Anolis sagrei: one gene and its partners. The protein of the gene in region 2 binds, or shares a complex with, the protein of the main gene of each other region. Links are inferred from orthologs where the notes say so. Each region holds a gene or a part of one and is shown on either strand. Other genes may lie near its edges. The genes, in order: calpain small subunit 1, calpain-2 catalytic subunit and CAST.

Region 1 (10,868 bases), on a different chromosome or scaffold from region 2:
GCATACTCTCACCCAACCTTTTTAACTTGTATGCAGAACACATCATGCGATGTGCGGGGCTGGATGAATGCAAACCTGGGGTGAAAATTGCTGGAAGAAACATTAACAACCTCAGATATGCAGATGACACCACTCTGATGGCCGAAAGCGAGGAGGAGCTGAGGAGCCTTCTCATCAAGGTGAAAGAAGAAAGCGCAAAAGCCGGGTTGCAGCTAAACATAAAAAAAACCAAGATTATGGCAACAAGAATGATTGACAACTGGAAAATAGAGGGAGAAACCGTGGAGGCCGTGACAGACTTTGTATTTCTAGGTGCAAAGATTACTGCAGATGCAGACTGTGGCCAGGAAATCAGAAGACGCTTACTTCTTGGGAGGAGAGCAATGTCCAGTCTCGATAAAATAGTGAAGAGTAGAGACATCAGACTGGCAACAAAGATCCGCCTAGTCAAAGCCATGGTATTCCCTGTAGTCACCTACGGATGTGAGAGCTGGACCTTCGGGAAGGCTGAGCGAAGGAAGATCGATGCTTTTGAGCTGTGGTGCTGGAGGAAAGTGCTGAGAGTGCCTTGGACTGCGAGAAGATCCAACCAGTCCATCCTCCAGGAAATAAAGCCCGACTGCTCACTGGAGGGAAAGATACTGGAGACAAAGTTGAAGTACTTTGGCCACATCATGAGGAGACAGGAAAGCCTAGAGAAGACAATTATGCTGGGGAAAGTGGAAGGCAAAAGGAAGAGGGGGCGACCAAGGGCAAGATGGATGGATGGCATCCTTGAAGTGACTGGACTGACCTTGAGGGAGCTGGGGGTGGTAACGGCCGACAGGGAGCTCTGGCGTAGGCTGGTCCATGAGGTCACGAAGAGTCGGAGACGACTGAACGAATGAACAACAACAATTATACTCTATTATATTTTAAGAAATATTATAAATAATATCTAATATATTATTAGTATAACATGATATTAGTATTCTATATTATACTGTATTATATTTTAAGTAATATTATAAATAATATCTAATATATTATTAGTATAGCATGATATTAGCATTATATATTATACTATATTATACAATATATTTTTAGTACAGCATAATATTAGTATTTTATATTATACTATATTGTAAGTAGTATTATAGATAATATCTAATACATTTTTAGTATAGCATAATATTAGTATTATATATTATACTGTATTATATTTTAAGTAATATTATAAATAATATGTAATATATTATTAGTATAACATGATATTACTATTATATATTATACTGTATTATACAATATATTTTAGTACAGCATAATATTAGTATTAAATATTATACTGTATTATTTTATAAGTAGTATTATAGATAATATCTAATACATTATTACTCTATTTATCACTATTTATTATTTACAGCATTTATATTCCGTAACGTTAGTATATAATATTATATTATATACTAATGTAATATTGGTATATTATATATAATACTATTATGTTATAAAATATAATCTATTATATAATATATACAATATATTCCATAATATTAGTATAATATTCCATAATATCAGTATAGCACAATATTAGTATTATCTATTATACAGTATTATATTATTAGTACTATAAATAATATCTAATATATTATTAGTATAGCATAATATTAGTATTATACATTATACTGTATTATAAGTAATATTATAAATAATATCTAATATATTATTAGTATAACATGATATTAATATTATATATTATACCGTATTATTTTATAGGTAGTATTATAGCTAATATCTAATATATTATTAGTATTGTTGTTGTTGTTCATTCGTTCAGTCGTCTCCGACTCTTCGTGACCTCATGGACCAGTCCATGCCAGAGCTCCCTGTCGGCCGTCACCACCCGCAGCCCCTTCCAGGTCAGTCCAGTCACTTCAAGGATGCCATCCATCCATCTTGCCCTTGGTTGGCCCCTCTTCCTTTTGCCTTCCACTTTCCCCAGCATCATTCCCTTCTCTAGGCTTGGCTGTCTCCTCATGATGTGGCCAAAGGACTTCCACTTTGTCTCTCGTCTCCTTCCCTCCAGTGAGCAGCCGGGCTTTCTTTCCTGGAGGATGGACTGGTTGGATCTTCTCGCAGTCCAAGGCACTCTCAGCACTTTCCTCCATCACCACAGCTCAAAAGCATCTCTCGTCCTTCGCTCAGCCTTCCCTCAGGTCCAGCTCTCACCTCCATAGGTGACTACAGGGAAGACCATGGCTTGGACTAGGCAATGGATCTTGGTTGCCAGTCTGATGTCTCTACTCTTGACTATTTTATCGAGATTGGACATTGCTCTCCTTCCCAAGAAGGAAGCATCTCCTGATTTCCTGGCCACAGTCTGCATCTGCACTCATCTTTGCGCCTAGAATATTATTAGTATAGCATAATATTAGTATTATATATTACACTGTATTATATTATAAGTAGTGTTATAGATAATATCTAATACATTATTAGTATAGCATAATATTAGTATTATATATTTTACTGTTTTATATTATAAGTAGTATTATAAATAATATCTACTATATTATTAGTATAACATGATATTAGTATTATATATTATACTGTATTATAAGTAGTATTATAAATATCTAAGATATTATTAGTAAAACATAATTTTAATATTGTATGTTATACTGTATTATATTATAAGTAGTTTTATAGATAATATCTAATATATTATTAGTATACCATAATATTAGTATTATACATTATACTGTATTATAAGTAATATTATGAATAATATCTAATATATTATTAGTATAACATGATATTAATATTATAGATTATACTGTATTATAAGTAGTGTTATAAATATCTAAAATACTATTAGTAAAACATAATTTTAGTATTGTATATTATACTGTATTATATTATATTATAGATAATATGTAACATTAGTATAGCATAACATTAGTATTACATATTATTGCGTTATATTATTACATTGCAATATTATTAGTAATATTATATCTATTAGTATTATATCGCAATGTTATTCTTTCTATATGTTATATTATGTTGCAATATTATTACATTGCAATATTATTAGTAACATTATATCTATTCGTATTATTACATTACAATGTTATTCTTTCTATATATTATTATATTAGGTTGCAATATTATTAATATTGTATAGCATGTATAATATATTATTATATAATATTATTATTATATATTATGTATATGGATTTGAGGCTTCTCTACCAAAGAATCCCAGGATTCTATGGAACGGAGGCATTGGAAGTTAAACCGGATTCAATCTGCATCAATTCCACAGTGTAGATGCACACACCTCCTGGAGTCATATTTCCTGCAATTGGGTGTGCCTTCCCCTTTCCTTTCTCTGGGGCCTTGACACAGAAGCATTCCTTTGATCTGAATCAGACTGGCCTGGGATTTTTTCTCGGCCTCTGGAGCTGAAGATCCTTTTCATCCCAAACTGGCAAAGCAGGTTCAAAACCAGGAAGAGCTGCAAGAAATATATATATATTTGCAGAAGATCAATGGAGCAAGACCTTTCTCCGCCTTAGATAAACTATGGGGAACAGAGGCTGGGGCCCCTTCTACACTGCCATATACAATGCAGAGTATCTGCATTGAACTGGAGTATTCGGCAGTGTAGACTAGACATGGGCCAATTTATGCCCTCCAGGAGTTTTGGACTTCAACTCTCCATTCCTATTGTAGAACTACAACTCCCAGGATTCAATACTATTGAGCCCTGGGAGTTGAAATAATATATAATTACTAGCTGTCCCCTGCCACGTGTTGCTGTGGCCCAGTCTGTGTATATGTGTTTGTATGTGTATTTATTTGTGTATATGTGTATATATGTGGTTTTGTGCATGCATTGTAATGTATTTCTTACTTTTTGGTTTTTTAAGTCCCTTCTATTGTGTTTTTCAGTGTTTTTATGAGTGATGGTCACTCGTTGGCCTGAGAGGTGTCATGTGTCCAAATTTGGTGTCAAATCATCCAGTGGTTTTTGAGTTACATTAATCCCACAAACAATCATTACATTTTTATTTATATAGATGCCCCCCCCTCTATATATAGAGAGAGGGGGGGGGGCATCTATATAAATATACACACTTTATTTATGTATTTATTTACAGCTTTTATATTCCGCCCTCCTCACCCCGCAGGGGACTCAGGGTGGATTACAGTGTACACATATATGGCAAACATTCAATGCCAATTTTTGACATACAAACATATACAGACATACACAGAGGCTATTTAACTTTTTCTGGCCGCCAGGGAGCTGTCGCTTTCCTCGTCCATCTGCGACGCTGATGAAGCACTTCCGCATTCCCCGCATGTTTCCCCGCTGGAATGCTTTGCTGGAGTCTTCTTTATGGCCTCATAAATCAGTTAATTTAGCCTCCCCACACTTTTAAGGTGGTACCTTATTTTCCTACTTGACAGATGCAACTGTCTTTCGGGTTGCAAAGGTCGACAACAGGCTACACACAATTTGTTGGAAACCCACTCCAACCCGGGCTGGCTTCGAACTCATGACCTTTTGGTCAGAGTGATCTTAATGCAGCTGACACTCAGCCAGCTGCGCCACAATAAAAAAAAAGTTAAATAGCCTCTGTATATGTTCGTATGTCAAAAATTGTCATTGAATGTTTGCCCTATATGTGTACCCTGTAATCCGCCCTGAGTCCCCTGCGGGGTGAGAAGGGCGGAATATAAAAGCTGTAAATAAATTAAATAAATAGTTTTCTCAAGTTTGCTCCAAAGTCTATCTATTTATCTATCTATCTATCTATATTGTGTATGTGTGTGTGTGTATTATATATGTGTGTGTGTGTGTGTATGTGCGTATATTATCTATATAAATGTGTGGGAGTTGAAGTCCAAAACTCCTGGAGAGCCCCAGTTTGTCCATTCCTGTTGTAGAACTACAGCTCCCAGGATTCAATACTATTGAGCCCTGTGATTTGAAATAATATATAATTACTAGCTGTCCCTTGCCACGTGTTGCTGTGGCCCAGTCTGTGTATATGTGTTTTCTGTGTGTATACACATTTTACATATATTATATGTGTGTATGTGTGTATACACATATGCATTTTATTGTTTGCACGGCTCTCCTAACAGCATGAAGCCAAAACATAAAATGCATACAATCCAATGCATAGATCGAACACACGACATCAGAAACAGGGTACGAATATCAATGTATAGAGTTGCAATGCAATGCAGATTCAAAACTCATGATGGGTATCATTGGTACCAAAAACAAAACAAAACCGGCATCAAACTGCATTAATTCTGCAGTGGAGACAGGCTTTGGATTCTGAGGCCTGTTTCCTTTAACTTCAATAGAGATAGGGATCTATTCAAATGTGCATTCTTTGTCCTCTTCCTTTCTCTCTCTCTGCTGAATCATAGCTGGCATCCCCCCCCCCCCCCAGTATTCATTTATGCAAATGATGCAGAGCGTAAATAAGGGAAGGAATTGAGAATTGGAAGAACAAACGGTGCATCTATCAACAGGGTTGAGGAACTGCCAGGGCTCAATGCGAGGGCATCTCTGGAAGTTGCACTTTGCAATCGTTGGCGGAGAAGGTGAACAGCCTTGTCAAACTACAACTCTCAGGGAATGCCGTGACAGTCAAACTACAACTCCCAGGGGTGCCATAAATGTCAAACTATAACTTCGAGGGATACCATAACAAACTAAAACTCCCAGATAAACCATAACACTGAAACAACAACTCCTGGAATGCCGTAACACTCAAACTACAACTCCCGGGATGCCATAAGAATCGAACTACAACTCCCAGGGATGCCATAACAAGCTACAACTCTCAAGGATAACATAACACTAAAACTACAACTCCCGGGATGCCATAACAGTCTAACTACATCTCTCGGGGACACCATAATAGTCAAGGACAACTCCCATGATGCCACAAATGCCAAACCATAACACTTAGGATACCTTAACAGTCAAACGATAACTTTTGGGATGCCATAATAATCACACTACAACTCAGGGATGTCATAAATGCCAAACTACAACTCTTAGGGATGCCATAACAGTCAAACTACATCTCCCAGGGATATCATAAATGCCAAACTACAACTCCTAGGGATGCCATAACAAGCAACAACGCCCAGGGATGCCGTAACAGTCAAACTACAAATCCCAGAAAGTCAAACTCCAACTCCCAGGGATGCCCTAACAGCCAAACTACAAATCCCAGAAAGTCAAACTACAACTCCCAGGGATGCCCTAACAGCCAAACTACAAATCCCAGAAAGCCAACCTCCAACTCCCAGGGATGCCCTAACAGTCAAACTGCAAATCCCAGAAAGTCAAACTACAACTCCCAGGGATGCCCTAAGAGTCAAAGGAATGATAACCGGCGGGCGCTAGGACCGCGCGGGAGCCTGGGGAAGGCTTCCCCTCTGCATTGCCTGCCTGCCTTCCTCTCGGGCGTGGTGGATCCCGCAGCAGTCGATTCCTCGGAAAGGAAGCCAGCCTGCCTGCCCGGAAAGGAAGAAGCAGCAACCAAGAGCCGCTCGGAATCGGGTAAGCGGGGGAAAGGGAAAGATCCCACACCCTTAACCACATTTTCCCTCTCCTCCAGTTGGGATCCATAGATCTCCTAAGGGATCCCCTCCCATGAGAGTAGAAGGAAGGAATCCACTTCCTCTGCTGGGCCCAATTCGAGTCTCCCTTCCCTTATTTTTTTTAAGAGATCATGGGATCTTATTCCTTCCCTTTTATGATTATTTTCATATATATTTTAAAATATAGGGATCCCATTGGGATCCTTTTTTCCCATCCACTTTGGGGCCTCTTGGTGGGATCTTTATTCTCTCCGCCCCCCCTCCCCACACGTTGCTACTTTCCGCTATAAAACTCCGTGCCAAGTTCCTAAGAGATCTTTTCCTCCCTTTTCGCTCAAGATCTAGTGGATCCCACTGGATCCCTTATTCTCTTCCCCCCTCCCCGTTGCTACTTTCCGCTATAAAACTCCATGCCAAGTTCCTAAGAGATCTTTTCCTCCCCTTTCGCTCAAGATCTAGTGGATCCCACTGGATCCCTTATTCTCTTCCCCCCTCCCCGTTGCTACTTTCCACCATAAAACTCCGTGCCAAGTTTCTAAGAGATCTTTTCCTCCCTTTTCACTCAAGATATAGTGGATCCACTGGATCCCTTATTCTCTTCCCCCCTCCCCGTTGCTACTTTCCGCTATAAAACTCCGTGCCAAGTTCCTAAGAGATCTTTTCCTCCCTTTTCGCTCAAGGTCTAGTGGATCCACTGGATCCCCACACGGGGGGGGGGGGTGGTGTCTACTGGATCAAACTTTCAAGAGAGATCTCTGTTCCCCCTCTACTGGTGCCTCCCTTTCACTCCAACTCTTCTGTACCCATATGGGATCAACTGGATCTCCGTGGGTCAACTGGATCCAGTTCCTTTTTTCTAATGGCCAACTGTGTATACCACCCTGAGTCGCCTTCGGGCTGAAATGGGCGGGATAGAAATAATGTAAATAAATAAATAATGAAGCCGGATCTACTGAACCAAGTTTCAAAGAGATCCTCGTACCCCTCTGCTGGTTCCTCCTATTTCGCTCCAGACCTACTGGATCTATATGATCCACAGGATTTCTATTGGGGGGGGGGGTCCACAGCATCCAGTTCTTCTTTTCAATGAAACCCACAGATCAAGTTTCAAAGAGATGTTGCCCCCTTTTGCTCCAGATCCACAGGATCTCAGCAAGATCCACATGATCTTCATGGGATCCACTTCATCTCCATAGGTCAGCTGGATCGAATTCTTTTTTCAATGAAGCCAGAGCTACTGGATCAAGTTTCAAAGATATATTTGCCCCCCTCTACTGGCGCCTCCTTTTTTTTGCCACAGACCTACTTGATCCATATGGGATCTTCTGGATCTCCACGTGGTCCATTGGATCCATTTTAATGAAAACCATGGATCTACTGGAGCAAGTTTCAAAGAGATGTTTTCCCTTCCTTTGCTCCAGCTCCACTGGATCTCCCTGTGATCCACTGGATCTCCACAGGATCAACTGTATACCGTTCTTCTTCTAAGGGATTGCCCTCATGTATTTTTTCCACTGCTTCCGCTCCTCCCTTCCCTTCTGCTTCCTCTTCCTGGATCTTTTTTGATATAACACGCCCATTGAGAGAGATCTTAAAGGGGGCATCTACACTGTAGAGCTAATGCGGTTTTGGCACCGCTTGGGCTGCCATGATTCAAGGCTATGGAATCCAGGGAGTTGTCATTTTGGAATTATTATTGATAGAATTATAATTGTGATCAATAGAATCATTACTAGAATTATTATTATTATTAGCATTATTATTACTCTATTAATAGAATATTATTAGAATTATTATTAATTAATAGAGTTATTACTACCTATACCCAGCTTTCTCTCTCCATTTCGCTGCCTCACCAAACTACAACTCCCAAGATGACATAGCATTACTACATTATGACTTTGGATCACCATAAGCAGGATCTACACATTGCAGAATCGATGCAGATTCATATCCCTTGAATGACCATGAATCAATGCTATGGATCCCTGGGATTTGCAATTTGCACCGTTCTGCAGAAAGGCTCCAGAGGCCTTGCAAAACGACAACTCCCAGGAATCCAGAGCAGTGAGTCAGGGCAGCTCGAGTGGTATCAAACTGCAGTGAGTCCCCCTGGTGAGATAGGACGGAATATAAATAAAGTTTTATTATTGTTGTTGTTGTTGTCCAGTGTGGATGGCTCCTTGGCAGAAAATCCTACAGAGAAAAAACTGCAGATCCCAGTTTTTTCTGCAAAGTTGCCATATAATTTTGGAACGAGGAACTAGCCAAACAGAGAGGAATCTGTTGCCAATAAAAAGCAATTAGGGAATTGCAAGCATCTTACTTCCAAATGCCAAAACCCCCTTTGGGGTAGAATAAAGGGTGCATTTACACTGGTTTCTAATTACGCTTGTTTTTTTCCCAATCGCTAATTAATGCCAGCTTATTATTATTATTATTATTATTATCCCCTTTCCCCCCCTCCCAACCGACTAAACCACCTGTTCCTATTCATTCCTAGTTTTCTGCTTCGATGAACATGTTCCAAAGTAAAGCTCAATGCAAACTGTGTGCAAACAGTTGTGTTTTCTTTGTGTGTGGGAGAGACATTCATTGTAATTACACTGAACGATTTCCTTGTCTTGCAACACTTGTGCTTTGAACACGAGACTCTGAAATTTCACTTATGAGATCCATTTTTATTATTAATAATATTATACTATATATTATTATTATACTGACACCACAGTATGTCACAGTAATATTATTATTATTATTATTATTTATATTACACTATATATTATTATTTATTAGTAGCTTGGGCACAAAATGTATAAGGTTATTATTATTATTATTATTATTATTACACTGACACCACAGTATGTCACAGTAAATGAGATCTATATGCTGGATTTTGTATATTATTATTATTATTATTATTATTTATATTATTATTATTATTAATATTATTATACTATATATTATTATTATTCTGACACCACAATATGTCACATTAAATGAGATCTATATGCTGGATTTTGTATATTATTATTATTATTATTATTATTTATATTATTATTATTATTAATATTATTATACTATATATTATTATTATACTGACACCACAGTATGTCACAATAAACTAGATCTATATGCTGGATTTTGTATATTATTATTATTATTTATATTATTATTATTAATATTATTATACTATATATTATTATTATACTGACACCACAGTATGTCACAATAAACTAGATCTATATGCTGGATTTTGTATATTATTATTATTATTTATATTATTATTATTATTAATATTATTATACTATATATTATTATTATACTGACACCACAGTATGTCACAATAAACTAGATCTATATGCTGGATTTTGTATATTATTATTATTATTTATATTATTATTATTAATATTATTATACTATATATTATTATTATACTGACACCACAGTATGTCACAGTAAATGAGATCTATATGCTGGATTTTTTATATTATTTTTATTATTATTATTATTATTGTTATACTATGTATTATCATTTATATTATTATTAATATTATTATTCATATATTATTATTTATTAGTAGCTTGGGTACAAAATGCATAATGTTATTATTATTATTATTATTTTACTAACACCACAGTATGTCACAGTAAACGAGATCTATATGCTGGATTTTATATATTATTTTTATTATTTATATAATTATTAATAATAATATTATACTATTTATAATAATAATAATTATTATTATTATTATTATTCTGACACCACAGTATGTCACATTAAACTAGATCTATATGCTGGATTTTGTAAATTATTATTATTATTATTTTACTATTATTATTAATATTATACTATATATTATTATTTATATTATTATTTATAATTTCATATATTATTATTATTTATTAGTAGCTTGGGTACAAAATGCATAAGGTTGTGGGTGAACTACAACTCCCGTCATGCCAAGTTAACCCCGAGAAACTCCCATCCGTACTTAAAGTTTGTTACGTTGGGCAAATTTGCACCAGATGCATAACATTGTGTGTGAACTACAATATTTTAAATTTTATCCTGATGCTTTTAGGTTAAGCTGCTTTGAGTCTCCTTTGGGAGAGATAAAGTGGGGTATAAATATAAAATATTATATATATATATATTATATAAAATATAAATATAATATAGATATTATAATAATAGTCTCCTTTGGGAGAGATAAAGTGGGGTATAAATATAATATAAAATA
Region 2 (10,306 bases):
TCATCTCCGTTTCTAAGCCAAAGAGTTACATTGTCCATAGCTACCTCCGAGGCCATGTGGCTGGCATGACTGCATGGAGCACCATTACCTTCCTGCCGGAGTGGTACCTATTGATCTACTCACATTTGCATGTTTTCGAACTGTTAGGTTGGCAGAAGCTGGGGCTATCAATGGGAGCTCACCCTGTCCATGGATTCAAACTGCCAACCTTCTGGTCAGCAAGTTCTACAGCTTTGCAATTGAACCCGCTGTGCCACCACGGTCCCCTTCAACTGGATATTTCTCTGTAATTGTTATGGTGGCAAATATTGTTTGAAAGGAAGAAACAAGGGGCCCTCTTTCGAGATACTCCATTCCAGTCTCCCACCCAAAAGTCAGTTATCATTCTATAGTTACTAAACATAACTCTTCTTATTTAGCTGGACAGATTCCTCCTTTCGTTTTCAAGACCTTGGCAAAGTTACTGTTTGGACTACTCAAGTCACAATGATAATTTCTCTTTACATTTGGAGGTGCTATTTTGCTACAAAGGCCTGGACATCAAAAAGAGAAAGGATGATTGCGGATCCACATGATTTTGCTTTGACACAACTTGTCTTTGTGTGTGTGTGTGTGTGTGTGTGTGGGGGGGGGGGGGTTGGCTGTCAGTCTTCTGAACTGTTAGAAACTCTGGCAGATTTTTTAACATTTCCTCATATGAAATGTGAATATTTTGCCCTTATGTGAGGCATGAAGTAAACTTTGTACTGACTGAGCCCAGCTCCTTGAATAAACAGTAGTCTCTACTTTTCTCAACTGCCTCTGCATCTTCAAAGAGTGTATTGATGCAGTTTTGGCTGCTTGGCTGACTTCTGCTCTCAAGCATGTGTATATTTCCATGTTCTGATGGAAGCATCACTATGCCAGAGCATTCTGAAAGCCATAGTCTCAAAAGCACCCAATGTGTCCCTTATTCTGTTTAAAAATTGCTGGGAATACTAAATAAAATACTTCCATCTGTTCCAAATAACACAACATCAGATAGGAAATAAGCGCCTTTTGCTTTATAATTAAAAGTTTGAAGCATATAAATAGCTGTATTTGTCTTTATTCTGGAAACCATATATACTAATTAGATGTGTCAAACAATCTCTAGAAGAGCATGGATGCTAGTATAGGAAGCCTTAGAGCCCTTCCACACAGCCATATAACCCCAAATATCAAAGCAGAAAATCCCACAATATGTCTGTTTTGAGCTGGGTTATCTGAGTCCACACGGCCATATATTCCAGTTCAAAGCAGAAAATGTGGGATATTATTCAGCTGTGTGGAATGGGCTTTAATGGGCAGAAAAGCAACTAGTAAGATTTTTAAACAAATAATAATAATAATAATTACATAAGTGGAAACCTCTAGCTCCTTGAATATTGTTGGACCATTGTTTTTCAGTATTTACTATACTGGATACGGCAATTGGGAGTTTGAGTCTAGTAGCATCTGGAGAGTTATATAAATATCAGATTTTTAAATCTGTAAGATTAGCTTGTTATCTCTAAATTATTATGTGGACAGATAAGAATCTTTACTGATTGACCTTTCCTGTTTTAGGCCTTTTAAACTTTTCCTGTTCAAAGCAAGTTGAGTATTTTATGATGGCTGGGTAGCTGCAAGTGGTCAAGCTGGAAAAACATCTTTAACGCTTGCTAACATATCCTGGTTCCAAAACATCTTGCAGAAGTCACTTCTATACATTAATAAGCACTGATATAGGGCATATTTCACCATTCCAGTGCACTGCCAAAGCTAGTTAGGGATTATGGTGTTTGTAATCCAAGACATTTTGATGTTCCTGCTTCTTGGCAGGGGGGGTTGGACAGGATGGTCCATGAGGTCACTTCCAACTCTATGATTCTACTCCATATTGACCTGGAGAGTGGTGGTTCAAAAAGTAACATTCCCCGATTCTGTAATACCTGTAGTACACAAATGAATAGTCTTCAAGCCTTCTAGATTAGTCCCACTGTGTTGTGTGTCATGTGTGTGGTGTCTGTATATGTGTGTATAGACAGATAGATAGATGGATAGATAGATGGATAGATACATAGTTTGAATACTGAAAAATAAATGTAATAGTGAGGGAACTTGATAGGCACAGAAACAAACAAATAAACAATGGGTATTTAATAGGCAAGACAGTGTGATCTACAGACAATCCACAAGTTACAAACATCCTACTTACAAACGACTCATAGTTAAGAATGGAGGTGAAACAACAGGAAATAAGATAAATCTACCCCTAAGAAGGGAACTTGACTCCTGAAAGAATTAAAAATAAAAGTAAAGGTTTTCCCTGACATGAAGTCTAGTCGTGTTCGACTGGGAGGTGGTGCTCAACTCCATTTCTAAGCTGAAGACCCAGAGTTGTCCGTAGACGCCTCCAAGGTCATGTGGCCAGCATGACTGCATGGAGCGCCCTTCTCTTCCCTCAGAAGTGGTACCTATTGATCTACTCACATTTGCATGTTTTCAAACTGCTAGGTTGGCAGAAGTTGGCAGAAGCTGGGCCTAACAGCGGGAGCTTACCCTGCTCCCCAGATTCGAAATGCCAAACTTTCGGTCAGTAAGTTCAGCAGCTCAGTGGTTTAACTCGCTGGGCCACCAGGGGAAATTATCATAGGAAAAAGGCGTCTCCACTGAAACGCTATCACCAACCCTTGATTCCACAAGTCCAATTTTTCAAGATCCAGTCATCAAAGGGACAGAAAGTGAGGTGAAATCTTCTAAACAGGGAGGCAGACAGCAAAACAAACACCACAGGGATGTTAAACCTTCCCTATGCAATCCAAAGCTAAAATGTATGTATATTTTTGGCTGGAGATACACTTTTAAAAAATTACCTGTTACGAATTACATACAAATTCAACTTATGAACAAACCTACAAAACATAACTTGGTCGCAACTTGAGGACTGCCTGGAGTGCTTTGTGCACTAAAAACTACAATTTCCTCTCCCATTTGGCCATGGAAATCCACAAAGTGACTTGGAGCAGGTCACACACTCTCAGCCTCATAAGTTGCCATAAGTCAGAAGTGGCTTGAAGACAATTCCTAACAGTCGCAGGCTCTTTAGGAATGGTGGGAGTTGAAGTCCAAAACACCTGGAGTGTGAGCCCAAGTTTACGCGGTTGAGCGGGAAAAGGAAGGGGCCTGAGGCTGTTAGGAATGGTGGGAGTTGAAGTCCAAAACACCTGGAGGGAGGGCCCAAGCTTAAGTGACTGAGGGGGGAAAAGGAAGGGGCCTGAGGCTATTAGGGAGGGTGGGAAGTCCAAAACACCTGGAGGGAGGGCCCAACCTTAAGTGGCTGAGGGGAAAAAAGAAGGGGCCTGAGGCTGTTAGGAATGGTGGGAGTTGAAGTCCAAAACACCTGAAGGGAGGGCTCAAGTTTGCCCATTCCTGGTAGGATTAATACCATTTGAAATGCCATGGCTCAATGCTATATTTTCACCAGGTCTTTAGGAGCCCCGAAGACCGACAGGTTGTAGGTTCGAATTTGGGGATAGGGCGGATGAGCTCCCTCTGTCAGCTCCGCCTCCTCTTGCGGGGACATGAGAGAAGCCTCCCACAAGGATGGTAAAAGATCAGAGCATCAGGGCGTCTCCTGGGCAACGTCCTTGCAGACGGCCAATTCTCTCACACCAGAAGCGACTTGCAGTTTCTCAAGTCACTCCTGACACGAAGAAACAAAACAAAACAAACATGTAGTCTACTCGAGTTCTTTATCCTTCTCTGCGGAAGAGGGCTGGTGCCTCTCCAAACTCCATCTCCCAGGATCCCACAGAATGGAGGTGTGCCCCCAAAAGTTTCCTTCCCGGCCCCTTCCCTCCCTTGCTCCCTCCTACCGTGGGCCTCTTCCAGACGATGCCCTTGGTCTTGGCGGAGTGGGGTCCCAGCTCCTTGAAGCCCAGGGCGGGGGGCCCGGCGGGGAAGGAGGGGTCCTGGAAGAGCTTCCCGGCCTCCAGGCACTCGTCCCTGAGCGCCCCGAAGTCCTGCCGGAGGTACTTGACCGCCTTCTGGTTGGAGCCCAGCCCTTGGGCCACCGCCCGGTCTTTGGCCACTTTCGCTGCGATCCCAGACATGATGGTGGCTCGCCCCGGCCGAAGGAGGAATGCCCGCCCTCAGCTGCAACTCCTCTGCCAAGTGTCCAGAGAGAAGAATCCCTCCCAGCCGGATGGTGATTCATCGCAACGAGGGGAAATCTCCTCGCCTGGGGCGGGGAGGTGCCCTCACGGATGCCTTCACACTGGAGAGTTAATGCGGTTTGATGCCGCTTGAACTGCCCTGGCGCAATGCTGTGGAATTATCCTGGAGACTTTAGGGCAGGCATGGGCGAACTTTGGCCCTGCAGGTGTTTTGGACTTCAATTCCCAAAGCCTCTTAGGAATTGTGGGATTATTGGGATATTGTGTCCAATTCTGGGCACCACAATTGACAAGAGATATTGACAAGCTGGAATGTGTCCAGAGGAGGGCGACTAAAATGATCAAGGGTCTGGAGAACAAGCCCTATGAGGAGCGGCTTAAGGAGCTGGGCATGTTTAGCCTGAAGAAGAGAAGGCTGAGAGGAGACATGACAGCCATATATAAATATGTGAGGGGAAGTCATAGGGAGGAGGGAGCAAGCTTGTTTTCTGCTGCCCTGGAGACTAGGACACAGAACAATGGCTTCAAGCTACCAGAAAGGAGATTCCATCTGAACATTGGGAAGAACTTCCTGACTGTGAGAGCTGTTCAGCAGGGGAACTCTCTGCCTCGGAGTATAGTGGAGGCTCCTTCTTTGGAGGCTTTTAAACAAAGGCTGGATGGCCATCTGTCGAGGGTGCTTTGAATGTAATTTTCCTGATCTTGGTAGGAACTCCAAGAAGCAGATTCTGAGTTGAAGTCCAAAACACCTCCAGGGCCGAAATTGGCCCATGCTTGCTTTAAGGTCTTCAGCCTTCTCAGGCAAAAAGGGATAGTGCCTCACAGAACAATGGTTTTCCCCTCACATTAAGTCCAGTCATGTCCAACTGGGGGTGGTGCTCATCCCCATTTCTAAGCCAAAGAGCCAGCATTGTCTGTAGACACCTCCAAGGTCATGTGGCCAGCATGACTGCATGGAGTGCTGTTCCCTTTCCGCCGGAGCAGTACCTATTGAGCTACTCATATTTGCATGTTTTTGAACTGCTTGGTTGCAAGAAGCTGGGGCTGACAGCGGAAGCTCATGCCGCTCCCCAGATTCGAACCTGCGACCTTTTGGTCAACGAGCTCAGCAGCTCAGCGGTTTAACCCACTGCACCACTGGGGGGTCAGCTATGGCAAACTGTGAAAGTAATGTAATTTGACCTCTACTATAGCTGCTATGGAATTTTGAAAGTTGTAGTTATGCAAGGTTTTTAGCCATCCCTGCCAAAGAGTGCTGCTGTGCTTCCCCAAACTATCAATCCCATGATTCCATAGCATTGAGCCATGGCAGATTAAAGGTACACCATGCAGTTTGACACCACTTAACTGCCATGGCTCAATGCTATGGATGTCCCACCTTGGAGTTTAAGATCATCCAGGGAGGCCCTGCTCTCGGTCCCGCCTTTGTCGCAAATGCGTTTGGCAGGGATGAGAGACAGGGCCTTCTTGGTGGTGGCTCCCCGCTCTTGGAACATGCTTCCTAGTGAAGTTAGGTCAGCTCCATCTCTCCTTTCCTTTAGGAAGAAGCTGAAGTCATGGTTCTGGGACCAGGCATTTGGGTATCAGGGTCAACCTCATAACCTCTGAGGATGCCTGCCATATATGCAGGTGAAACATCAGGAGAGAATGCTTCTAGAACATGACCATATAGTCCAAAAAACCTACAACAACCCAGTGATTCCGGCCATGAAAGCCTTCAACAATATACTTACATATTTTCAAATCTTGGTGTTCCAGTATATTTACATGGGGAAAAAAAGGTTCTTTTGGAGTTTTTTCAGGCTATTTATTATATGTTTTCATATACTGTAGATAAGAGATACATGGACTTTCCCCTCAGGCAGTAACACAGTAACACAAGTGCAATGTCTGGGCACTTCTATGTCACTACAACCCCTTCTACACTGCCATATAATCCAGATTATCAAATCGGATAATCCATACTATTTTTGAACTGGATTATATGAGTCTATACTGCCATATAATCCAGTTCAAAGCAGATAAGATGGATGTTATATGACAGTGTATAATGGGCTTACATTTCATAACATTATGTATAAAGCATGTTGTGTGTTAGTTAGCATTTGAGTCATATAGAATTCTTATTTTTATTTTTCCTTCTTGGACCAAGGTAGGTAACTTTCTCCTTTTTAAAAAAACTGGACTTTCTGCATTCTGGGAATAGATGGAATAACTATGAAGAAAAAATGTGAGTGGAGGAATAGAAGGATTTGGATAGCCACCATGTGGACAGCCCAAAAAAGTGAATGCAGAAAGTAAGAATCGGAAATAAATGAGTGAAATTTATGGAAGGCATCCCACAAGGAGTAATGTAACTTCCTTGTTTGAAAGCTTTACTTACCTATTTGTAAGCAGATATACTATCCCATTACTGCCATGTTTTCATTTCATTTCCCAGTAGTCTGAGAGCTGTGGCAGGTAGGAAAATGCTTAACAAATAGTTTTAATGAATAAATAATATCAGAAATCTTTAACTTTTAGGGCAGCCACAAAAGGCAAAGCTCAGCTTTCTTTGAATGCTGCTGGAAGTTGATGGGGTTGGCACCCATTTGGTTAGAATCTCTGTCCATCTTTCCAATGAGTATATTTAATGTACATGTGTCAAATCCAAGGTTTGTGGGCTTCCATGTCATTTTATGTGGCCTTCCAGATGCTGGACTACAATTCCTGTTTTTCACATCATTAGACACGATGACCACGGCTGATGGGAGTTGTGATACAGTACAGTCACAATGGGGTCAACCCTTGTGCTGCTGAATTGCTGACCTGAAGGTTGGCAGTTTGAATCTGCGAGACAGGGTGAGCTCGTGCTGTTAGCCCTAGCTCCTGCCAACCTAGCAGTTCAAAAACATGCAAATGTGGGTAGGTCACTAGGTAATGCCTCAGCAGGAAGAAAAACAGGTACTCTGTACAGTCATGCCGGCTACATGACCAGGAGGTGTCCATGGACAATGCAGGCTCCTCGGCTTGGAAATGGAAATGAACACCTCTCTCAGAGCCAGAGATGAGTACTGCCTCCAGAGCTGGAAATGAAAGGAGAAGCCTTTGTCTTTGTGTATTTGTGTTTCATTGTATGCCTTTGTAACAAGGCATTGCATGTTTGCCTGTGTCTGTTTATATGCTGTAATCCGCTCTGAATTCCCTCAAGGAGAAGGACAGAATATAAATAAAGTGCTATTGTTATTATTTGAAACACAACAAGATGAGTCCACAGCAAAAAAGATCACTCTGCTGGCTGTTGTATTGGATCACACTTCGGAAACTTCCCAAGTGTCTAGGACTGTGTGATGTATCGGTGAATAATGCATGCAGATCCCAGTAGGGTGGCCTTTTGCAGCTGGCAGATGGTTATCTTGACAGCGCCGATTGTATTTAAGTGCAGGCCAAGGTCTTTAGGCACTGCATCCAGTGTGCCGATCACTGGGATCACCATTATTATTATTTATTATTTATTACTTATTATTATTATTTTGAAGGCTGCAGTTTGTCTTGTTTAGTCAGGATAGTTGGGTCTGAATTCAGATACAAGGCTTGTTGATGTGATGTCTGACTTTAAAATGTCCTTTAACCTTCTCCCAACCTCAGAGAAATAAGTCCTGTTGTTTTGCAATTCTCATTATCCCCAGTTCACATTGACGATAATAAAAACTGATGGGAGTTGTAATTCAGTAACATCTGGGGACCCAAACTGAGTAAAACCTAAAGAGCACAGACTAATAGATAGATAGATAGATAGATAGATAGATAGATAGATAGATAGAGAGAGAGAGAGAGAGAGAGAGAGTTGGCCCTTTGTATCCATAGATTCTCTGTCCGTTGATTCAATAACCCTTTGAAGGTTGAATTGGCCCTCAGTGAAAATGAGTTTGACACCCCTGGTTTCGTGCATTGGTTTGTTGTTACTTACTGTCTGTGGGAGATCTGAATATTTTTTCTCCTGTAGCCCTTTTTTTGGAGAAAAGATGCAAAGGTCATTCCGCCTTCCACAGTAATTATACCATTGTGCTGAAATTTCCTGTGAACTCCAGAAATATCTGAAATCCAGAAATAACAACCTGCAACCTTCTCTTGCAGGTGTGTGGTTGCAGAAGGACTAGAGAGATTTAAAACACAGCATTCCATATATTCCTGCAACAAAATAATGCCATTTTACTTGTGCTGTAAGTACATAATAGCACTGCTTTATAGTTTTGTAACAACAACATCTTGAGCTCTGACGCTGTGGAGGAGGAGATCACGACCTTATACCCACACTGTCCTCTGGCACCGTGAGCTGTACTCAAAGCAAGGGAAGGGAAGGGAAGGGAAGGGAAGGGAGGGGCCACCAAATTCCAATGTTACATTTTTTTCTCCGTACTCATGAAGTTGTTTCAAGTCATTTTTTCCATGTGATTGCAATATTCCTAGCAATTTCAGCTGCCAAATACTCTCAAAATAGAGAGACTAACTGTTCTGAAGCTTCTAAAATAAGTGATAATGTTGAGAACAGGATATAGGCAAATTATAAACTTTCGTTTTTAGAAATTGAGCCCAGAGATGGGAGAAAATGGTCCCCAGCTTTTTTTAAAAAAAAGACAGAGATCTGTCTCTTGTAGATTTTAAGAAAGTAGTCTGTATGGAACTCCCATCATCAACACTTTGCATTTTATTCCCTTTGAAATTACTCTTGCGCGAGTCCTTATTCTACACTGATTCCAAGTAATAAGAATTGGGAAAGATAAGAACAGTTTTAGACATTACAAACAGGCAATGCCACCTCACTCTGCAAACTTTCCCACCCTTCCAGCAGCATGTATTTCTCATGTTAAGGTAGACAGGGCATGTCGCATTAGATTTTACTACCAGTTCATATCATTAGAACAGGATGGCTTGAACAATATTCATTGAGACTCTAATAACTATTATTGAGTTGATACAAGTATTTTTATTGGTCAAACATTGTATTTTAAATTGGTTTGTGGTTTCTTTGTTAGCTTTTTTTTTAGGGCCAGGCTTAGCACAGTAGGCTAAACAGAAAAAAAAATCCTGCCAATCAGAAAGTCAGTAGTTTGAGCCTGGGTTGGGGTGAGCACCAGCTGTTAGTCCCAGCTCACCTGCCCACCTAGCAGGTCGAAAGCAGAAATGTGAGTAGATAAAATAGGTAGCACTTTTAGCAGGGAGGTAATAAAGGTGCCCTAAAGGAAATAAATCAGAGAAAAGCTCCTCGACATGGAAGATGGAGTGACAGCACACACACCCCAGCATAGCTGGAGTCTAACACAGCCTCAAAGATGCCAGAAATGAGATGGGAAAACTGCCTTTACCTCTGTTTGTGTTGTGTTTGTGTTGTCTGTTCTTGTTAATTGTATAATCTGCATTGAATGTTTGCTGTATGTGTGTTCCGTAAGCCATCCTGAGTCCCCTTCAGGGTCAGAAGGGCGGGGTATATATCTTGTAAATAAATAAATATTGATTTTAATTAACATGCATTAAAACATTTGACACATTTTGACAGAAATCTATTTTAGAGTGAATGATACTCCAGCCCTTCTGCCCAGCTCCCATTTCCCTCCAGGGAAAATGGTCTTGGTACACTCCCGCAGTTAAAACATAGCAACATTCCACAGTCATCCATCAGTAGACCACACTCCACACATTTACTAGCAATTGCCGGACTGAATGGGAGTTTTAGTCCAGCAAGATCTAGAGGGTCACACATCCATGAGTTCTTCCTCCTTTACTGCAGGAAATTTAGATATGGGTTGTGAAGTGAGAAGTGAGAACCCTTGATGAAACCAGTCAGTCGTACAGATGATGCTGGATAGGTTATGCTCCCCTTAAAGCAGAGCTTTCCAAATTGTGTATTGCAACACCTTAGTGCATGGCTGCAGTGTGTAGGTGTGTTGTGCAAACATAACAAGACATTTCTGAGTCTCTATGAAACAAGCAATAAATTATATTTAAAAATATAAATGAAAGTTTTATTGAGCTATGTTGTCTCCCTATACATTTCATTATTACAATTTATGTATATCTCCAAATCTCTTAGAAGGGGTTGGTTTAACCTCTGGGCTTTAGCACAGCTGGTAAATCACCAGCAGTGATCA
Region 3 (10,443 bases), on a different chromosome or scaffold from region 2:
TGAATACTGGCAATTGAAAATGTGATATTGAATCTGCCCAGACTTGGATATGGTTTTAACTGGCATGTTTAAGTTACTGTTTTAATGAATTGTATAATATTTTAAATGATTTTCAATGTCTTTAATGTATTTTGGGTTGTTTTACATGTTGATAGCATTGTATGGTGCTTGTGTGAGGCTGCCCTGAGTCCCCTTTTGGGGGAGAAGGGCAGGGTAGAAATGCATGAAATAAATAACATAAATAATAAATGAATTGCGAGAAACAGCATGGTGGAATGGTGCTGGTGTTGGACTAGAACACTGGGACATGAATGTTCGAATGCTCACTTGGCTCTAGAAAACCACTGGGTGACCTTGGTCAAGTGACACACTCTCAGACTCAGAAGAAGGCAAAGGCAAACCTTCTCTGAACAAATCTTGCCAAGAAAACCATGTGATAGATAGACCATAAGCCGCGTTGAGTCCCCACCCATGGGAGAAAAGTGGGATAAAAATGAATAAATAATAATAATAAGTAGGAAATGACTTAAAGGAATGCAACAACAAACCCAGCAATATGCAAAAACTCTGGCACAAGCCTGTAAAAGTGGTCCCAGTGGTGATCGGCACACTGGGTGCAGTGCCTAAAGACCTTGGCCTGCACTTAAAAACAATCAGCGCTAACAAAATTACAATCTGTCAGCTGCAAAAGGCCACCCTTCTTGGATCTGCACGCATTATTTGCCATCCTACTACTTCATCAAGCTAGAGAATGAATCCACTTTAAATCCGGTTTCGGCCTCCTGCAGAATTTTGGGGTTTGTAGTTTAGTGCGGCTGTTAAAGGCTCCTCCCTAGACACTGGAGAAGTGTCCAATGTGTGATCGAATATAAAAGCCAGCATAGCGATCTTGTTTGCTGTGTACTAATCTTGTGTATCAAATTATAATAAATTGGAAATGACCAAGGAATACAACAGCAAGCCCAGCAATGTGTAGAAGACCTCACTGTGATCTGGATATACATATAGTAATCATCACCTATAGTCCTTAAAAGGAAGGTGGGAACTACCATGTTCTTTTTTCCCATTTCATTACGTTCATCTACAGATCCACTTACCAGTGGCCAGACTAGATAGATCGAATGAGAGTTTAAGAAAAACACAAACAAATATAGGACATTTGTAGCTGTCCAGTTGTTGGGCTGTTTGTTTTTTGGACACTGAGTCCCATCAGATCTATTCTAGCCTCATCTTCCAGATACTTGGTGGCACACCCACACTGACCACTTAGGCCACTGTGAAACCAGCCGAGAAGGAAGTGGTTCCAATTTCCAGATGACGACATATGAAGTCCAGCTTTTAAGCCTGGATGGTGCTTATACACATATGCAATGCAGAGGCTGACCTCGAACCAGTTAAAGATCCACAAGATCTATGACTTCACAACTGCGGAGGGCTCTGCCAATCTGTGCTGACTGACAGAGCCCTCAATCGGTTTCGCCATGCAATGCGATGTACACTCAGGCATGCTGAAGTGTGTTAAGGGCTCTATTTCGGAGTATGCTCTGACTTTCCTTATCTCAGGGTGCATCTACGTATGTGCAATCTTGTACATTGTAGATTGAATGCGGTTTGACACATCTTTAACAGCCATAGCTCAGTCTGGGCAATTATAGTTTTCTTGGTTCAAGAATGCTAGCGCCTCCCTAAGTGACCACTCCACAGCATTGAATAACAGCAGTTCAAGTGGAGCCAAACGGCATTCATTGTACAAATCTAGCATGGGCAAACTTGGGCCCTCCAGGTGTTTTGGACTTCAACTCCCACAATTCCTAACAGCCACTTGGCTGTTAGGAATTGTGGGAGTTGAAGTCCAAAACACCTGGAGGGCCCAAGTTTGCCCATGCCTGATATAGATGCATCCTTGATTTAAAGCCCTTGAAGTGAGCTGCAAGGCATGCACCATAAACACTGTACTATCCAGCTGCCTTCAAACTGCATTAAACGGTCATCATAGATGTGGACATCAAGGAGCCGCTGTGGTGCAATGGGTCAAACTGCTGACCTGAAGGTTGGTGGTTTGAATCCACGAGATGGAGTGAGCTTCAATCTGTCAGCCCCAGCTTCCCATCTGGGGACATGAGAGAAGTCTCCCACAGGATGGTAACACATCCGGCTGTCCCCTGGGCAACGTCCATGCAGACAGTCAATTCTCTCACACCAGAAGTGACTTGAAGTATATTCTCTATTTGCTTCTGACACAATAATTAAAAAAATAAATGTGGACTCCCAGAAGCTCCAGCCCAGTTGGAAGATTATCAGGAATTTGGGAGTCCAAGGCACCAGGAGGACAAAACTTTGGAATCTGCGAATTTTTATCCAGGCAGTGGATTTGGTTCAGAGGACATTCAAAATATCTGGAGGGGCCTGAAGTCTGTCACCTCATCCTTTCCACATTCAATCTGGCATGGATAGACATGACACAGGGCCCCATTCCCACATCTTTAGGTGCAGGATTGTAGGAGATGAGAGATTCCACAATGCAGAGCCCTGTACATCCCCAAACCCACCTATAACATGCATTTACCACCTATAACAGCATTTATCAAGCTGGGGGGTTGGGACCCCTGGGGGGTTGTGAAGGGGTATCAAAGGGGACCATAGGAAAACAGTAGTTTCTGTTGGTCATGGGAGTTCTGTGTGGGAAGTTTGGCCCAATTCTATCATTGGTGGGGTTCAAGAGGCTCTTTGATTGTAGGTGAACTATAAATCCCAGCAACTACAACTCCCAAATGTCCAGGTCTGTTTTCCCCAAACTGCACCAGTGTTCACATTTGTGCATATTGAGTATTTTTGCTATGTTTGGTCCAGAGCCATCATTGCTTGAGTCCACAGTGCTCTCTGCATGTAGATAAACTACAACTTCAATAGGTGCCCACCAAACCCTTCCAGTATTTTTTGTCAGTCATGGGAGTTCTGTGTGCCAAGTTTGGTTCAATGTCATCATTGGTGGAGTTCAAAATGCTCTTTGATTGTAGGTGAATTATAAATCCCAGCAACTATAACTCCCAAATGACAAAACCAATCCCTTTCCAACCACACCGGTATTCAAATTTGGGCGTATCGGGTATTTATGCCAAATTTTGTTCAGTGAATATCCTGCATATCAGATATTTACATTACGATTCATAACAGTAGCAAAATTACAGTTATGAAGTAGCAATGAAAATAATTTTATGGTTGGGAGTCGCCACAACATGAGGAACTGTATTAAGAGTTCAGGGCATTAGGAAGGTTGAGAACCACTGACCTATAACATGCATTTAGGGATGCATTTATTACACTGTAAAACAGGCGTGGGCAAACTTCGGCCCTCTGGGTGTTTTGGACTTCAACTCCCACAATTCCTAACAGCTGATACGCTGTTGGAATTGTGGGAGTTGAAGTCCAAAACACCCGGAGGGCCGAAGTTTGCCCATGCCTGCTGTAGAATCAGTTTGACACTACTTGAATTGCCAGGACTCAATGTTATGCAATGTCAATATTCAGTAACAGCTTTATTTATTTATTTAATGACTATATGGTTTGACAATCTTGCTTATATTGTTTTTAATTCAATTTATGGTTTTTAAATTATTGTTATAATTCTTTATATTGTTTGTTTGTTGCGGCATTGAATCGTTGCCGGTGTAAGCCGCCCTGAGTTGAGAAAAGACTGGATAGAAATACTGGAAATGAATAATAATAATAATAATAATAATAATAATAATAATGTATTGCTTTAGATTTACAATCCCAATGTATTGTATGGATAGGAAATAATTAGGCATTAAGACATTTAACTTTCAGGAAAACGTTTTCAAAAAGTTACCTAACTTTGGGGACTTTTGGCCCACCCTGCAGTTTAGGGAGGAAGAAGGGAAAAGAGGAAGACAACTGCCACGATCCTACAGCACTGAGCCAGGGCAGCTCAAGTGGTATCGAAGCGCATTAACTGAGCAGTGCAGGCGCACTCAAGTTCTCTGCCTTGGAGCGCTGCCCGTCCCAGCCCAGCCCAGCGAGTGGGCAGATCTCTGCCTCTGACACAGGCACAAAAGCCTTCAAATCCCCGCAAGAGGAGCCGCGGAGAGCCCCGTCCCTCCCCGCTCGCACTCACCGTCTTGCCAGCCTTGGCGGCGTGTTTCTTTCCCTTCGTGGGCTGCGACATGGTGGCTGCGTGTGCTCCTTCTTCTGGGCCTGCTTAGGGTGCCAAAGGGAGAGGCGGAGGAGGAGGAGGAGGAGGGCAGCGGCGGTGAGGCAGCTTTTCCGACGGAGCCCCCCGTCGCTCCCCTCCAGTGCCCAGGCCAGCTGCGGAGCCACCCAAGTCCCTCCTCTTCCTGCAGAGAGAAACTCCCACCCAGCCCCGCATTCCTGGGGCCCGCCGGGTTTCGTGGGCCGGAGGGAGGAGTGGAAGGGCCAGGAGGACACCCCCAAAGGCGGGCTGGGCACCAGGCTCCTTGTTTGCCAAGACACGCTTGAGACTTAGGCAAACTCCCGGAGCCCTTTTAGGGGAGGTTCCGTTGCCTCTTGTTTGGAGAGAGCTTAAAAGCCCATCTATCACTCAAAACTTTGGGACAGAGCCGAACCGCCTCGCCCTTCGGATTGCTCCTTTGGCCAGCCCGGGCTTTCGGCCTGCTCTCTCTTATCAGGCACAACAAGGTTTCCTCATCATTAGAGCCAGTAATCGTAGATAAAGAGTCTGAACACACAGTCTGAAGCATCAACCTACAAGTCCAAAGCACACAAGTTATTTTTGCTCTATGGCTGTTGTTGTGTGGCTTCCCATAGCCAAGCACTAACTCAGGGTGCAGCTACACCAGGCATGGACAAACTTCGGCTCTCCAGGTGTTTTGGACTTCAACTCCCACCATTCCTATCAGCCGTCTCAGGACCAGGCATGTAGCCGGGCCGGGGGGGGGGGGGGGGCTTGAGGGGCTTCAGCCCCCCCCCCCCCTCCGAAATGCTCATGGTGGTTCGCGAAAAGGCCTTACTGGTGCATTATTTAAACTGTTATGTTTATTCATATAATGATCTGATCACCATGCTCAATATATCCCACATGCATGGGGGGGGGGGGGTATTGGGGTAATGATACAAAAGGTTTGCTAGAATAGACCCTCTTTCAGTCAGACTCAGCCCCCCCGAACCCCTCCCCCTTGAAAAAAACTCAGCCCCCCCCCCCCCCCCCAATCGAAATCCTGGCTACAGGCCTGCTCAGGACCCTTCCTTTTTCCCCTTCAGGCAAAGAAGCAGGTAGTGAAAACAGAAGAATGGCCTGCCTTGAAAGCGTGCTTGTTCCATCAGTGTTTAACATTTACACAAATGATCAGCCACTGCCAGATGGAACAGAGTTTAATCTATGCTGATGATTGTGCCATCACCACCCAAGAAAGGAGCTTTGTAATGGTTGAACAGAAGCTCTCCGAAGCTTTAGGTGCTCTTACTGCCTATTACTGTTGGAGTTCAGCCTGTGATTGTGTCTAATGATCAGGGTAGTCTGGATGTTGGGAATGACAATGAGGTTCTAATGATGAGGTTGCTATTGATGCAGAGAATGACAATGGGATTCCTGTTCAAAGTTAACGATGGCACAAATGTGTAAAAATGGATGGTGACTATGTTGAACGGTCGTTTTGTGTAGAGGACAGTTCAGGCTATGGTCTGTAGCAACCTCTGCTATTATATGTTCATTCATAATGTTTTTATGTCATGGGAGGCAAAACGTTTTGACCCACCCGCGTACTATAAAAGTTAATGCCGGCATTTTGAATTGATTTCCAACACAGACAGGCAACCTGTGCATCTTTTTGAAGACTCTCACAGTGAAAGAACATCTAGAAAAAATATTCCCAAGGCAGTTTACAATAAATATTTTAATGCATTCTGTTATAATTATAAAACAATAACTTAAGCCATAAAAACAATAATTTCCCAATTATTTAATGAGAGCCTAGAGGAATAATAGCAGAAGAGTATTTCCTTCCTGTTGAGAGAGAGAGAGAGCAAGAAAAAAATAAGAGCAAGCAAGACTGCCGTATATATTTAAGTATAAGCTGGATATTTCAGCTCTTTTTTTAGGCTGAAAAAGCCCCCCTCGGCTTATACTCGAGTAAATGTTATTTATGATTTTACTCTGTTGTTGTTATTTTACTCTTTATTATTATTATTATTATTATATTGAATTTCTTATTTTATTCTATTATTATTATTACATTTATTATTTTACTGTATTTTACTGTTTTTATTACATTTCCATTATTTTACTGTATTACTGTTATTTTTATTACATTTATTATTTATATTATTATTATTGGAAGGATACATAAGCACATTTACATTTAAGAAGAAGAATGGTTTAATCAGAGCTGGACAGTCTTATCTTAAATTACAGTTTTATGTAAATATTCAAAAACATTTAACCTGCTGATGCCTCAATTAATGTAATTTTATTGGTCTCTATTTTTATTTTGAAATTTACCAGTAGCTGCTGCATTTCCCAGACTCAGCTTATAACCGAGTCAATACGTTTCCCCAATTTTCTTTGGTAAAACTAGGTGTCTCGGCTTATATTTGAATCGACTTATACTCGAGTATATATGGTATATCGATCTCTTGAAGAATTATACCCGATACCTGTAATAATAACAACCAAAACAACACAGAACAACAAATCATAATACAAAAACAAAAGGATTTGGGCCATTAACTGGAAAAGATTTTCACAAATTTGCCTACAAATGTAACTGTTGAATTTGAATTAGAGACTTGAAACCTGTAGCTCATGCTCTTAAGTACTGCACTGATTAACTGGTATACAGTGAAGAAATGTAGAGAAGGCAATAGAAGAAAAGGTGTGCCTTACTTGAAACAGATGACTTGTATTTTTGTGTGTATTTCAATTTTAAGCAATGCCTGAATCTCACCAATCAACTGGTCTAACTAGACTATACTGCATTCCTAAGGGTTCAATGCACAGGATACTAGTCCTTACTATAAAGGCTGCAAAAATGTGGAAAGGAAGGCTTCATTCTCCTCAATAAGAATAATGAAATAAAATGGAGAAAAGCTTTCAGGATTCCCTGGACAGTCTTATCTTAAATGACAGAGCAGTGGTTCTCAACCTTCCTAATGCTGTGACCTCTTAATACAGTTCCTCATGTTGTGGTGACCCCCAACCATAAAATTATTTTCATTGCTACTTCATAACTGTAATTTTGCTACTATTATGAAATGTAATGTAAATATCTGATATGCAGGATGTATTTTCATTCACTGGACCAAATTTGGCACAAATACCCAATACATTCAAATTTGGATATTGATGGGGTTGGCAGGGATTGATTTTGTCATTTGGGAGTTATAGTTGCTGGGATTTATAGTTAACCTACAATAAAAGAGCATTCTGAACACTACCAATGATGGAATTGAACCAAACTTGGCATACGGAGTTCTCACTGCCAACAGAAAATACTGGTAGGGTTTGGTGGATATTGACCTTGAATTTTGGAGTTGTAGTTCACCTGAATCCAGAGAGCAGTGTGGATGCAAACAATGATGGGTCTGGTCCAAACTTGGCACAAATACTCAATATGTCCAAATGTGAACACTGGTGGAGTTTGGAGAAAATAGACCTTGACATTTGGGAGTTGTAGTTGCTGGGATTTATAGTTCACCTACAATCAAAGAGCATTCTGCACCCCACCAACAATAGAATTGGGCCAAAATTCCCACATAGAACTCCCATAACCAACAGAAAATACTGTGTTTTCTGATGGTCTTTAGCGATCCCTCTGACACCCCCTCGCAATCCCCCCAGGGGTCCCGAGCCCCAGGTTGAGAAACGCTGCCTTAGAGCCACTGGTTTCTAGACCAGAAAAGTAGTCTTTTTGCTCTCAAGCAAGTATGCCAAATGTCCATTCTCAATGAAGATTTATTTATTTATTTACTTACTTACTTACTTATTTATTTATTTACCTTACTTATATACCGCTGTTCTCAGGCCGAAGGCGACTCACAGCGGTTCACAACAAATATGAACAAATATACACTTGTATACCGCTCTTCTCAGCCCTCAGGCGACTCAGAGCGGTTAACAACCAATTCAACAGTACAAAACAGATCATTAGTCAATTAAAACAGCAATATCAATTAATTAACATCAAAACATCAATACAACAATAAACACTAGATTTCTTCTAGTGCAGTAGTTCCCAGCCTTTGGTCCTTCACTTGTTTTGGACTTCAACTCTCAGATATCCCAGCCAGCTTACCAGCTGTTAGGAACTGTGGAAGCTGAAGTCCAAAAAACCTTGAGGACCAAAGGTTGGGAATCATTATTCTAGTGGAAACTATATTTTTTATCTCCAGTAACTGAAAAAATGTTTGAAATTAAATATGTTTCAGAAGGTTGGCCATTTGTGTTTGGTCCAACAAAACAAGAAGCCCCTTGTATACCTTTAAGAATAATACTATAATTCCATATCCTCCAGTTTTTCATAGATGAAAACTAAGACATATGTGGCCGAGAAACATCACAGTGTGTTTATGATGACAAAGGTTGCAGCGGTTTGCTTTTGCCTGAATCCACTGGGAAGGGCAAGATTCTTCCCCTTCCTTCTCTTTTCCCTGTAAATTGACTGAATGTGAACTACTTTTGGATTTGAAACTCAGTTTTTAGCAATCAAAGTAAGCTGAAGATAAAGGAGGAGAGCAGAATGAGATAAAAAAATCTAGGATGTTTTAGAAGCAGCTGAAAAGGGGAGACAGATAATTGGGATTGTCCATGCTAGATTAGGACAGTTGGAGAATCTATCCAATTCCCTGTGACATACATATGTAAAAGTAAGCCTTGTTGCCACATTTAAGTGCCATGAGTATATAGAACCACTGTGTTATTTTAATATAAACCTTTGTGGACTAGAGACAGATGCACACAAACACAAGTAGAGGAAGGGAGGATAAAATGAGGACAAATGGCAGTAAAATTCAAATCCTAATTATTTAAGATTATAATAAAAATGAGGTGAGGCAAACTGGATGCTTACATTTAAGTACAGACTTAAGTCTGGTGTTTATTTGAGGATGAAATTCTTAGTTGTCTAAATGTCAGAACTGTTCTTTCACTTCAGACAAAACCAACTCAGGAATAGCTATAGAAGCCAGGTCAAGATAATCCAAGGATTTAAAACCAGGTGGTCCCCATGGGAAGCACATGTCCAGGCAGGGACAATTCCAAATGCAAGGTCACCCAGCAGGAAATGCAAGGGCATCCTGTGTAGATGAAATGTACATTCTCAGCTGAAATGCAGGTATTATTCTAGTAACCACTCCCAGCACAGGCCTGTGGTTTAATACAACCTGAGTTCCCAAACTCCCAACAAGAGCAATGCTGCAGGCGACTGCAAGCTATCAGGCATAAGTAGCACATGAGGAATGGTGCCAGATCTCCTGGGATGAATTCCATCTTGCATGCCATCAATCAATAGTACTATATTAAGACGGTCATCTTGTGGTGCATCTACACTGTTGAATTAATGCAGTTAGGCACCACTTTAACTATGAAATTATAGGATTTGTAATTTGAGGAGGCACTGGTACTCTTGGGCAGAAGAAAGCTAAAGACCTTGTAAAACTGCAACTTCCAAGAAGTTGCTATCTTGGACATACATGCAACCGTGTTTTAGGGTACAGATTTGTGATCCAATACCTTCTAAAACTGTAACTAAATGTAAACATTGTTATGGATAATACCCTTTATCTTGCAGATTAGGAACAGAGTGTGATATGCATTACCTGCCTTCTACTCCAGTTTCCTATAAGGAATGGGTACTTTTTAAATTATTCCAATTGTCCTAGATAGAGCTCATAAATAAGAGAACTCGAATAGGACTTTTGATTAAAAGGAGTCTGCTAAGAGAGTACATAGATACAGGTAGCCAAAATGGATATTTTTGTTGAAAACAATTCATGATATAGAGTAGTGGTTCTCAACCTGTGAGTCCCCAGATATTTTGACTTTGAACTCCCAGAAATCTTAACAGATGGTAACCTGACTGGGATTTCTGAGTGTTGTAGGCCAAAACACCTGGGGATCCACAGGTTGGGAACCACTGATAGATTCTGCTACCTTATGCAAATTCTTTATTTTTCAATGAATGTTATGTAACAGTAGCATATATTTAATTATTCCTGTAATGATGACTGATTAATGAATGTGTATATACATTGGCTTCTCTTGGTGGTTTTGCCAAAGGGCTGCAGAAATCTCTGGTGGCCTTAGCATTACTCTGCCTTCAGACTGTAGGGCAAACATCATGGCCGCTTTGTTTTTTGGCAAGACTCCAGTTAGCATGAATCAGTCACAGGCCCGTAGCCAGAATTTTGTTTCAGGGCGGGGGGGGGGGGCTGAGTTTGGTTCAGGGGGGC

What was found.
Region 1: the proteins of calpain-2 catalytic subunit (region 2) and calpain small subunit 1 are in contact, whole or in part, in a crystal structure (PDB 1KFU), measured with the Homo sapiens proteins. The link is inferred for Anolis sagrei from reciprocal best matches to the Homo sapiens genes CAPN2 and CAPNS1. Residues at the interface, in NP_001739.3 of Homo sapiens: Ala2, Gly3, Ile4, Ala5, Lys7, Leu8, Ala9, Arg12, Glu13, Glu16, Phe60, Arg366, Arg416, Arg417, Arg418, Arg420, Asp494, Ile516, Phe551, Glu575, Lys578, Val581, Asp582, Asp585, Gly588, Ser589, Gly590, Gln641, Leu642, Gln644; in NP_001003962.1 of Homo sapiens: Thr85, His86, Ser88, Asp111, Asp112, Met113, Glu114, Ser116, Thr118, Asp142, Arg145, Ser146, Ala149, Val150, Met151, Asp152, Ser153, Asp154, Thr155, Thr156, Gly157, Gly160, Phe161, Glu163, Asn206, His208, Leu209, Met212, Ile213, Arg215.
Region 3: the proteins of calpain-2 catalytic subunit (region 2) and CAST are in contact, whole or in part, in a crystal structure (PDB 3BOW), measured with the Rattus norvegicus proteins. The link is inferred for Anolis sagrei from reciprocal best matches to the Homo sapiens genes CAPN2 and CAST. Residues at the interface, in NP_058812.1 of Rattus norvegicus: Glu62, Leu63, Ser68, Lys69, Gln99, Gly100, Ala101, Leu102, Gly103, Trp106, Lys161, Asp162, Leu165, Leu166, His169, Ser196, Gly197, Gly198, Thr200, Ser241, Asp243, Ile244, Thr245, Asp249, Ser250, Glu251, Ala252, Val253, Val259, Lys260; in NP_445747.2 of Rattus norvegicus: Glu571, Leu572, Asp573, Ala575, Leu576, Asp577, Glu578, Leu579, Ser580, Ser582, Leu583, Gly584, Gln585, Arg586, Gln587, Pro588, Leu596, Asp597, Asp598, Lys599, Val600, Lys601, Glu602, Lys603, Ile604, Lys605, Ala606, Glu607, His608, Ser609.

What each region holds. Positions count from the first base shown.
Region 1 is NC_090035.1:78,028,759-78,039,626, forward strand, and holds the start of calpain small subunit 1, read left to right. Parts: upstream 1-6,452; 5' UTR 6,453-6,580; intron 6,581-10,868. UniProt on the Homo sapiens protein: Regulatory subunit of the calcium-regulated non-lysosomal thiol-protease which catalyzes limited proteolysis of substrates involved in cytoskeletal remodeling and signal transduction. Essential for embryonic development.
Region 2 is NC_090021.1:38,502,404-38,512,709, reverse strand, and holds the start of calpain-2 catalytic subunit, read right to left. Parts: upstream 4,223-10,306; 5' UTR 4,116-4,222; coding exon 3,879-4,115; intron 1-3,878. UniProt on the Homo sapiens protein: Calcium-regulated non-lysosomal thiol-protease which catalyzes limited proteolysis of substrates involved in cytoskeletal remodeling and signal transduction. Proteolytically cleaves MYOC at 'Arg-226'.
Region 3 is NC_090022.1:252,934,846-252,945,288, forward strand, and holds the start of CAST (calpastatin), read right to left. Parts: upstream 4,471-10,443; 5' UTR 4,187-4,470; coding exon 4,136-4,186; intron 1-4,135.